3 linked regions of the Drosophila melanogaster genome follow. The protein of the gene in region 2 interacts with the protein of the main gene of each other region in a pairwise test. Each region holds a gene or a part of one and is shown on either strand. Other genes may lie near its edges. The genes, in order: CG1416, SdhD and Tim9a.

Region 1 (3,756 bases), on a different chromosome or scaffold from region 2:
TTCATAAAATTTTATAAATACATATAAATGCACATATGCTACTCAACAACATAAAAATCGACTCTCTTGCCCACTATCTCTCTTCTTAATGTTTTTATTGTATTTTTTTTTGGGATATTTACTTTCGATTATTTGCTAAATTAATTCTTAGCACCAACAATAATTTTACCATCATTTTTATTATCGGTTTATTAAAATTTATATATTTTAAGATTAATCGTTCATATAAAAAAATTCAGAGCCCGTCAAGCCCTCCCTACAAAGGCTCTGGAATAAGTCTAGTGTCTTTGCTCCCTCTCTGTCAAATCACCTAAAAAGAAGCTGGCAAAAACTCCAGACAAAAAGACATCACGAAATTGTTTTTCTGTATACTACAAGTGTATACGAATATGTTCTTAAATCGTTGTTTCCAAAATTAAAAATGTATGTATATATTGATGGTCAATTACCTGTATTTCGAGTAAAAGTTCCTGCTTCTTGCGTCGCAGCTCAATCAGCAGTTTTTGCTGCTCCGGTGTAAGTTCTGCAAGAACGAGATGCGAATCAATAATAAATTCATATACTTGTTTCTGGGCATTTTGTAAATTGTATCGCAACACCAACAGTAAAAATAAAAAACACCAGAGCAGCATTCCAGGCACACGCGCCCAACACACATACACACGTGCATACACGAGCTGTTTGCGATGCGATGAAAGCATCTTGTAGGCTACGTCACTAGCTTAGGCCGATAAACAATTTTCACTTGTCGAAACCACAATGGATTGCTAATTGTGCAAATTGGCTTATTAGCGTTACCAAAGCTCTTCGGACTTAATTCTGACGAAGGCCAAAAACGAGAACGCAATGTACATATGTACATAATATACATACATATGTGCACTAACATTTCACCTAGCACACAAGTCTATACATACAAATGTTGCTTGTTGCTTCTCTTATTTTGTAGTTGTGGGTATCCCAATTTGTGATCTTAATAAAATTTTATCAATACAAAGATTCGTATTCTGTTCATGCTAGGCTATATCCTTCGGGCCAGCAAAAGTATCTGCTGTTTACCTGGCATTGAGAATTCACTGCGCCCCTTTGATATGGCACCGTACGATCTGTTGTCGAAATTGTCCATTGCGCTAATCATCGCGGAGCTACTGAGCTACTACACACACTCTCGCGCACACGACACACACTCTAGTTGTACATTTTTCACCAGCAGTTGGCTAATTTTTAAGGCTTTTCATTGAACAATCAAAGACGAACGGATAATAAACAAATCAACACCAAAAAAATTCTATCGCCATTTTCTTTCAGCTCTCCACTAGGGATGTGCTGAATTCAGCTATCGGTTGAGTAAACAACTGAAAAATAACAAGTGCATGCTGACTTAAGCTGGGTGTTACGCGAGCTCTGTGTGGCCACTTTTAAAATATCCTGATGCCACTGCATCTTGTAACCAAACGTAAGAACTTTTTAATCAGTAGAACTAAAAAAATTAGGGCTAATTATTTACTTGCAACAATACATTAAATATTTTTAGGGGTACACTTTTTCAGAGATTAGAGCAGACCTTATCTATTTCAAGACAAATAGCTTGAAAAGCTGTAAAACAACTTTGTTACATCCATTATGGTGTGATTTGCGGGAATCGGCTATTACCATTTCGAAAATTGTTTGTTACAAGTTAAAAACATAAACTTAAAGTTTTGGACGTACATAAAAATATAACATTAAAACAACCTTGTTATAAAAAAATACAATACCACCAATACTTACTGTCCATTTTAAATCTGTTAAAAAATTCACTGAACGAATACGTCTTTCGTCATAACTCCATTTAAAATATCGTCAGGAAATTTACACATCATTTCGTTTTTTTAACGGCACAAACACCTCGGACTTGGTGGCAACGCTGCCAACATATGTGTGCACTGGCATCGATAATTTTTACATCCCTATTTTGAACCGCAGAATTCTAGAAAATTCCACTCGCTGGCCATAGTAATTGTCCGAATTAGTTTAAGCTAAGACTGCCGGATCAAAAGTAAACCAACATCTTCCATCTTTTCATAAAATTGAAGACAGTTTCATACAATTCTACAGTAAGAAAGCGATGGCCAAGTGGGGAGAAGGAGATCCGCGCTGGATTGTGGAGGAGCGGCCCGACGCCACCAACGTGAACAACTGGCACTGGACGGAAAAGAACGCCACGCCATGGTCCAAGGACCGCCTGCATCAGCTTTTTCAGGATTTCAAAATAGGCGAGTATATAAGAATTTGTAGTAGTGTAGAACATACATTTTAGGTATATCCTAACCTAAAAGTAAACTTCTCAAAACGCAGGGCAAAGCGACATTGAGTGTGCCGTGGACTCCGTGGACAAATGCTCCGGGGAGGCCACCGTGAACAATCGCAAGGGCAAGCTCATATTTTTCTACGAGTGGGAGCTGGTGCTCAAGTGGTCTGGAAAGCTCCTAAAGAACAGCAAGCTGATCCACAAGGGCAAGTTAACCATTCCCAATCTCTCCGAGGAGAACGAACTAGCCGACGTAGAGATCACGGTGACAATCGACGAGTCCAACGACGAGTCGGAGACCCTGAAACAGTTCATGTACAACGTGGGACGAGACCGCGTGCGGCAGCAACTGGCTTCCTACATCCGAGAGTTGAAGGAGGAGTACTCCAAGAACCTTATCCTACCAAAGAAGGGCGACGAGGCCGGAGCGGGAAATACTGTGGCGAATTTTAAGGATGCCAACAATACCCGTAATGCAGCCCAAAATATCGCTTTAAACTCCTCGGTGGCGGCTCCTAGGCTGAAGAACTCTGGCATCGGCTGTAAACTGGACGTTCGCACTCTCTCGATGACCGAAGAATTTCACTGCAGCGCCAATGACCTTTACAACGCTCTCACAAAGCCAGAAATGGTCACTGCCTTTACGAGGGCACCTGCCAAAGTAGATGCCGTGCGCGGTGGAGAGTAAGTTTTTGTCCCTGGTCGTTTTATTTTACCATCACATCAGGACCGTTTGTGTCGTCATTTAGTAATCTTGTTATGAATAACCATAAATTTCGCCCCTCGCCCTTGTCTTCACTTCTTTATGGTAAGTAATCTTTTGTCTTTTATTGTAGATTTATTCTTTACGGAGGCAATGTGCTCGGAAAATTCGAAGAGCTCGTCCCTGAAAAAAAAATACAGCAGAGCTGGCGTCTGAAAAACTGGACATCTGGTCACTACTCAAACGTTGTCATAGAGCTGGAAGAAACTGTAAGTTACTAGGACAACGAAAACTAGATATATTATTATTTATTTTTTTAAATTGACCCGCTTAGTGATCCTGATTAACAATATACGATATAATTTTCAAAGAATGTAGTACTCCTTATCAGTCAATAAATAACGCGTATAAGACCATATTCCTACGGGCCTCTAAATTCGAAATATTTACAAAATTTTATGTGCACAAAGAAAATAGTAATATGAAAAAAAAATAACTTTGTGATTTGTCTATTTATTATTTATTGGTTAAGAAAAAAATTAAATTCGTTACAATACGTCGGATTTAAACTTATGAATGTAATGATTTTGGTTTAGTACATTTTTGAAATTTACATTCAGGTTAAATTCCTATTAATACCTAATTACATTATATGATGGAAACCAGCAAATTTGGTTAAAAACGATGTAAAAGCTCGAATCTAATCTAAAAATAAATTCCTGAAGTAAGGGTTCTGCGAAATAGGATGAAACGGATAAAAAAC
Region 2 (3,756 bases):
GCATGTGATACTGGGAGCACTGCCCTTTCGCAGCCAGGCCAATGACGTAAGTATCCCCACGGAACCAAGCCTGAAATCCTTCTAAATCCTTGTTTAACCGCTCAGCTCATTGAAAAGGAGAACATGAAGGCGGTGGTGTCGATGAACGAGGACTATGAGCTGACCGCCTTCTCCAACAACACGGAGAAGTGGCGAAAGCTTGGCATTGAGTTCCTGCAGCTGGCCACCACCGACATCTTTGAGTCGCCCAATCAAGAAAAGCTCTTCCGCGGCGTGGAATTCATAAACAAGTTCCTGCCTCTAAAGCAAAGAATTGGTGGCCTAAGTTCCTCCTACCAGCCGGAGAACGTGGGTTCTGTCTATGTGCACTGCAAGGCTGGTAGGACGCGAAGTGCCACTTTGGTGGGATGCTACCTCATGATGGTGGGTTGGTTATCTATTTGCACGTAGCTCTTAAAAAAAAGCTCACAACTTATCCTTTGCAGAAGAACGGATGGACTCCGGATCAGGCGGTTGACCACATGCGTAAGTGCCGACCGCACATTCTGCTGCACACCAAACAATGGGATGCCCTCCGGTTATTCTACACAAACAATGTGGAGACGAAATCATGACCAAACCTGGACAATAGCCCAAATTTATTGTTTACAGTAGATTACCATACGTAACAAAGGTGGTGCCTGTTACCCAACTACTTTAGTGCTGATTTTCTTGTTGAATATACAATTTTCTACAAAACCCGCTCTGTGCAGCTGTGACTTTTTACAATTCTTTATTTAATGCTTATCGCGAAACTATGAATAAATAACTGGTGTTTCGTGGTTCATCAACTGATTGCTCCTTTGACATTTAAGCCTTCTCGGCATCCTTGCCCTTGATGGCCCAGAAGCGCTTGATACCATTGGCCAGACCCACATCATTTTGGATGAAGTAGAAGAGGCCGCCCAGCGTGGCCACCGAGATGATGATCAGCGCAATGTGGGCTACCTTGGGCAGGACGTTTCCAACGACAGATGGCCGCATGTAGTCAACTACCATGGCCTCCACGCCCCTGCGTTTGGTGAATGAGGAAAATATAAGTAAAGGTTTAATTTTCCTCAAGGATATCTTACCAATGGGTGTGGATGACGACAGAGATGGCCATGAGGGCGTCCAATACCTGGGATGGAGCTATGAAGGCAGCTGGAATGACGGCCAGTAGGCCGGCGGACACAATTCGCTCCACAGTCCAGAGCAGGGTGTGGCTGGATCCAGCGGAAGCCATGCGGGGCGCACTCACGGAGATCTCGCGCACGACGGGCTGCATAAGCAGTCGAGGATTACCATTTAGTATGATTAGCCACCACTGAATTTTTCAACTCTAAACACTTACCGCTACAATCTTGGCCACGGCCAGGGGCTGGACCACCGCCTTCCGCTGGACATTGGCCACCAGGGTGGAGTAGCTCTTCAGGGGAGTGATGCGAGCCGACTTAACAAGATTTGCGGCTAATTGGGATACCAACAAACGGTTTGGTTATATAATGAAAGCTGTTTTGCGTCCAATAACAAGGCGATTTGCCATCCAGTGGGTCCTTACCATTGCAACGGACAGCGCCACGCAGAAGCAACGAGAGGGACATGTTGGGATGTGTAAATATTGAGAATTTTCAGCTCAAAATAAAAACTCTATCGCTCCGTTCGGTTTGGGCCGATTTGTCTAAAAAATTACACAGCACTGGGCTAGTGCAGTCAGCTGTCATCGATTTGTTATCGGTAAACAGTAGCGGTCAAGATATTGTCCCACAATAATAAGGGAAGCCCAGTAAAATATTTTGAACTCAACAAACAATTAAAGGGTGTAATAAATAATAAGAAAACATTTAGTTCAAGGCATTTATTTAACTGCTTTAATTATTTGCACAATACATTTGAGATTCGTTTGGGACGGAATGGCTGTTACACGTAAAAATTGTGATGATCTTACAAACTAAGTTTAAAATTTGCTTAAAACTTTCTAAAATTCGCATTCTAAGGCACGCAATTGCTCCTAAAAGTGACTTTATGTTGGTTGTAAAATTTTTGTAAATTTCGTTGGATGGAATAGTTAAAAAATACTTTTGATATTATTAAGCTAATAAACTCCTAACCTGGACTAAGACCACGATAACGAGGCCAGTCAGTTGAAATTTTAGTGTCGCTGCTCCTGCTCGGTAAAAGTCCCAATCAAATATGATGTTGGAGGCATCCGACGGCTTCCAAGGATTCAATCCGTCATCGAAGTGCATGGGACAGTCGTCACGCTCCCTTTCGTACTCCACGGCATCGATGGCTACGGCAGCGCCCTCCGAGTGGTTCCACGAGGTCACATCTTGCTCCAGTTTGCAGAATGCGCCCACAGCCTGCGACATGAGGACACGGTTGAGGTCGGCACGCTGATAGACCCAGCAGCGATACTTGGACAGCGGATCCAAATCGTCGTACGTAATCAGGTAGGACTTGAGGTTCTCCTTCCAGAAGCCAATGCACTTCATGCGGTAATCGGGATCACTGTAGATATCAACGGGACGACCCAAGTGATCCACCGACAGGCAATAGTTTTCATCCACCGCCAATTCCTTTTGATCTGTATCGCAAACCGATAAATCCGAGATGTTTTGCTTGCAATGGATATCGGGACGCGGACTCAGAGTGACACCACCAAGAATTCTGTGAAATATACACATTAATTATACGTTTCATGCTACGATTGCAAAACATTACAAACCTCGTTCTGAAGGGATGCTCTCCTCGCTGCGTAAAGTTGAATTTTCCCGCAACGGGGCAACGAACAGGCACAGGATTTCGAGCAAGAAACAGATCATATTTCCATGCCTCCGAATTGGGGAACTGAACCCAAGAGCAGACTGTACTAAAATCGTCCTTGATCACAGCCAAACCCTTGCGGTAGCGAATGATGTTGTGGTGGCGGGGCATAAAGTCAAAGCACACGTAATCCTTCTGGCAACCGTCGACAGTGAGGCGAGCCATCATCACACGATTACCCCGTCGCTCTCGGCAAACATAGATTGTCTTTCGGTATCGAGCTTTATCCGGATAGTACGTCTCGTTTATGTGGGTCTCACTGATCGAGACATCGGCATCAATGTTGGCAGTGTTCACCCATTCTCCGCTAAAGTTTTGTGGTAGCGTGCAACCGGGTTCCACAAACTCAGCCTTCACTGGCGTCAGCTTTAGACGCTCCGGTGACGTTTCTGGCGTCTTCAGTGTGTTACATTCGGCCGTAATGGAAACGCCCACGTAAAGATCATCGTCACGATTCTTAAGGAAGCAGCGGTACTTCTCATCCTTACGCGACTCCTTTGTGTTGGCCACGGCAAAGTAGTGGTTCTTGCCCACAAACCAATCGCCCAGGCAGCTGAACTCCACGGTGCCGGTGAATGTGCCCTCCATACCCTCGCACTGCTGATAGGTGACGTTGAACTTCTGGTTCTGGATGAGGAACTGCGTTCCTGCCGTTTGACAGGACTGAATGCGAGCGTCGGGCTTATCGCATACGCCCGTGAATCGGAATCGGTTCTATAATAAAAGTTCAAATCAAGATCACTAATCAACATAAAATGGATATGTTTCTAGACCCTTAACTAAACCGCACCATGTGCAAATTATGTGATCTATGAATCTATTTTGATCTTACCTGGTACGTAAAATGCCACACTCCCTCCAGCGACGATCGGCAGTTGATGGGCACAAAGTTCTCGTTAAAGAGCGTTATCA
Region 3 (3,340 bases), on a different chromosome or scaffold from region 2:
TCACAGAGGCAGAGGGCTTTCCGTCGGAGGCCGCCACCACGAGTCATTGAGCCGATTGAATATACAGCCGGAAAACGGGAACCACGCATTGGCGAACCTTGTGTAGCCCTAAGTATTGAGTAGATGGCCACAGGCGATGGCCTCTATGCATTAGACCTAGATTAGAGATCGCCGTAGTCGGCTCCGGTGTTCGGGATACCGAAGACCGATATATCGGTTGCACATCCGCCACGGAGCACATGCGACTACGGCCCTGTCTTAACGTGACTTAAACGTAATTGTAGGCACATCTAGCACGTAAGCAGCTGCGGCGCCCAATTCTACCATTTAAATGTCATGAGGCTGAAGTGCTAAAACGAAAAAGATGGGCTGCTACTCAGCTGGAACATATTCGAAACTGATGATCCACACTTGTCTTTTTCAAACAAGATCTCTAGGCCGTAATCAATCAGCAATAAAGTACCACAATAATCGAATAGTAGATAATAATCGTCGGGATTCCGTCAACGCGTTTCTTTACTCAGCTATTTTGACAAATGCAGGAAAATGCATCATCTCAGTTGTCTAAACTAGTTAAGATTGTTTGTAACAGCTATAACACCTAAAGTTTGCCAGTCTTTTGAGCCATGGCCAGTGCGTTCTCGTGGGCAATAACCTGGAACTCCTGGAAACGCTGCGAGACGCGTTGGTTCATCTTCAGATACTTTTCCATGCAGTTCAGCGAGCACTTCTCCTGTGAAATGGATGGGCATATTGAAATCGCTGATTTCCACATGGAGCTTCCCCACGGGCACTCACCTCGGAATCCTTAACATCCCGCGTTGTAAAGTCGCGTATGCAATCTGTGAAGCACGTCTCGGACAGTTTGTTGTAGGACATTAGGAAGTCGGAAAACTGAAAGTTAGAACCGAAAACATATCAAATGAAAACCACATTGCATCACTTGGCACCGCCGGTCCTTGGCATGAGATGGTATCTTCGTGTCAACTCTGCTTACCGTCTTAATTTGATCCTTGTCCAACTGATCGATGGCTATGTTTTCCGGTGTCTTAGCCATTTTGTTCTGCGATATTTTATTCAAAATTGCCGAAACGAAAAAGGGCCAATAATAATGTGCCTATATAATAGGGACAGCTGGGTGTGCAGGGTTGCCAGATGTTAAAAAGCCATTCCGTGTTCTCGACTTATCGATATGTTATCTTTTGAAGTATGTTATGTGAAGTATCTGGTTCGGCCGACTCAAAAATTAACCACATCTAGTTTTACTCTTAACATCGGGTATATGAAATTAAGCAAATGTATCCATACATAAATTAAGGTATATTTATAATAATACTTTAACTAAGTACCCTTAGGTTGTGAAACATTTAATTTAAACTATTAAATAGAATAAAATGATATTTCAAAGATCGATATTCCTATAAAATATCGATAGTCGCATATCTTATGGTCAGCGCTTTACGGTACTGCACCTCGTTCACTTTTCAACACTGGAGGGCACGCCATCTTTTTTTCCTCACAAACACTTTTTTCTGCTCCTGCTTTGTGGGTGTGCTCTTTGAAAAACCAAGGAGAATTCCCTCGGAATAGCATCAAAACAAACTGGAAAATTGACTTTGGACAAGTCCAGTGGTACAACAAATACCAAAAATCCATTACAGAACCGGAGGAGCAGCACCTCCAGCCACATACATATTCATACATAATGCCACGCTACCGTGAATGGGATTTAGCCTGCAAAGTTTACGTGGGCAATCTGGGATCCTCGGCCTCCAAATACGAGATCGAGAACGCCTTTAGCAAATACGGACCCTTGCGCAACGTCTGGGTGGCCCGCAATCCGCCCGGTTTCGCCTTCGTCGAGTTCGAGGATCGTCGCGACGCTGAGGATGCGACCCGTGGCCTCGACGGCACCCGCTGCTGTGGCACCCGCATCCGTGTCGAAATGTCATCAGGCCGTTCACGAGAGGGTCGCGGCGGTGGCGGTGGAGGCGGCGGTGGTGGAGGCGGATCCGGTGGCGGCGGCCGCGGCGGTGGCAGTGGCGCCCGTGCTGGAGGCGGTGGAAGGGCTGGCGATGGCGGTGGACGCTATAGGTGAGTACGGCACAAAAGCATTACATTTTGCATCCCCAGAATAAACCAGATAAACTAACTAACCAACCAACCAAAGCACCCACTTACTACCACTACCCCTCTCTCGAGATTATGAAATCATAATTTTTGCCATTATGTGCAAAAAAGTATGCAAAAATATATATATAAATAAACATATGTATACATATTTATATAGCGTGTGTGCTTGTGTGTATGTATGCATGTGAAAAATCGATTCGCGTATACATACAAAAGCGGTGCCAGCCAAAATACACACAGTCACACATACGGTGGGACACCACTGTTAGCCATACATAAACACACACAGTGGCGTCCGTGAAAAAGAACAGTCCTACCGCGCGCACACAGTGGCGTCCGTGGCCGACAGTCCTGGTTGCTTTTGCTACGTCAATCGATTCTTTTTAGCTCGTATTTTGTTTTTTAAGGGGAATCTTGTTTTAGTATCACATTTCATTGCTCATTATATGCACCCCGAGGTCCATAGTTTAAAGTTCAAAGAGTATAGCTTTAACTAGAGAAAACGTTTTGTTTGTTGTTTTTAGTAAAATTACAAAATACAAGAAAAATGAAAAGAAAATACAAGAAAACTTAGTAAAAACAAAGTAAATCGATCGCTTGGAGCCAGTTTTAATGTGGTCTCACAATCATTTTGCAGGATAAAGTCTTCTTCTTCTACTACAACAAGCACAACAAGAACTACTACAACAACAACATCAATAATAATAATAATAATGATAATTAAAAGAACAACAAAGAAAAAAGAAAAAACAACAACAGCTACTACTACTAGAACTTCTACTACTCCTCTTCCTTCAACAACAACAACCAAAAGAACAACAACAACAGCTACTACAAGAACAACTAGTACAACAGCAGATCCTGCTCCTCCTATTACACACATTTCACCAACAACAACAACAACTACAGCCACCACTACACCACCACCATGCAATAACAATTTGTTGTGCGGCCCTAACCAGAAATTCAACAAATTCGATATATTCCGCTGACCACAAAACCAAGAACCAGAACCAAACCGAACGACCGCAACACTACCACACCCCCTCCACCACCTGTTCAGCTCAACCCAGGCAAAAAAAAAAAAAAAGAAAAACAGAACAGAAAAAAATGAATCATCAGCAACGTCTTCGGCTCCGCAGCTTCAAGAATAATGCACCCAAAACCAGACCGAACACCACCCACAGTCACCTAACTATACATTCCA

Evidence for each region.
Region 1: the proteins of SdhD (region 2) and CG1416 interact in a two-hybrid assay, tested with the Drosophila melanogaster proteins (one large-scale study listed by BioGRID).
Region 3: the proteins of SdhD (region 2) and Tim9a interact in a two-hybrid assay, tested with the Drosophila melanogaster proteins (one large-scale study listed by BioGRID).

What each region holds. Positions count from the first base shown.
Region 1 is NT_033779.5:21,756,105-21,759,860, forward strand, and holds the start of CG1416 (uncharacterized protein), read left to right. Parts: upstream 1-1,905; 5' UTR 1,906-2,107; coding exon 2,108-2,255; intron 2,256-2,337; coding exon 2,338-2,974; intron 2,975-3,126; coding exon 3,127-3,262; intron 3,263-3,756.
Region 2 is NT_033777.3:23,758,873-23,762,628, forward strand, and holds SdhD (succinate dehydrogenase, subunit D), read right to left. Parts: upstream 1,729-3,756; 5' UTR 1,623-1,728; coding exon 1,580-1,622; intron 1,489-1,579; coding exon 1,373-1,488; intron 1,301-1,372; coding exon 1,113-1,300; intron 1,052-1,112; coding exon 850-1,051; 3' UTR 615-849; downstream 1-614. Other genes in the region: PTPMT1 (protein tyrosine phosphatase, mitochondrial 1), read left to right, coding at 1-46, 106-423, 486-614; udt (undicht), read right to left, coding at 2,109-2,688, 2,747-3,558, 3,677-3,756. UniProt on the Drosophila melanogaster protein: Membrane-anchoring subunit of succinate dehydrogenase (SDH) that is involved in complex II of the mitochondrial electron transport chain and is responsible for transferring electrons from succinate to ubiquinone (coenzyme Q).
Region 3 is NC_004354.4:13,383,054-13,386,393, reverse strand, and holds Tim9a (Tim9a), read right to left. Parts: upstream 1,185-3,340; 5' UTR 1,058-1,184; coding exon 998-1,057; intron 895-997; coding exon 799-894; intron 734-798; coding exon 602-733; 3' UTR 501-601; downstream 1-500. Other genes in the region: Ype (yippee), read left to right, coding at 1-50; Rbp1-like, read left to right, coding at 1,706-2,094, 2,771-3,125. UniProt on the Drosophila melanogaster protein: Mitochondrial intermembrane chaperone that participates in the import and insertion of multi-pass transmembrane proteins into the mitochondrial inner membrane.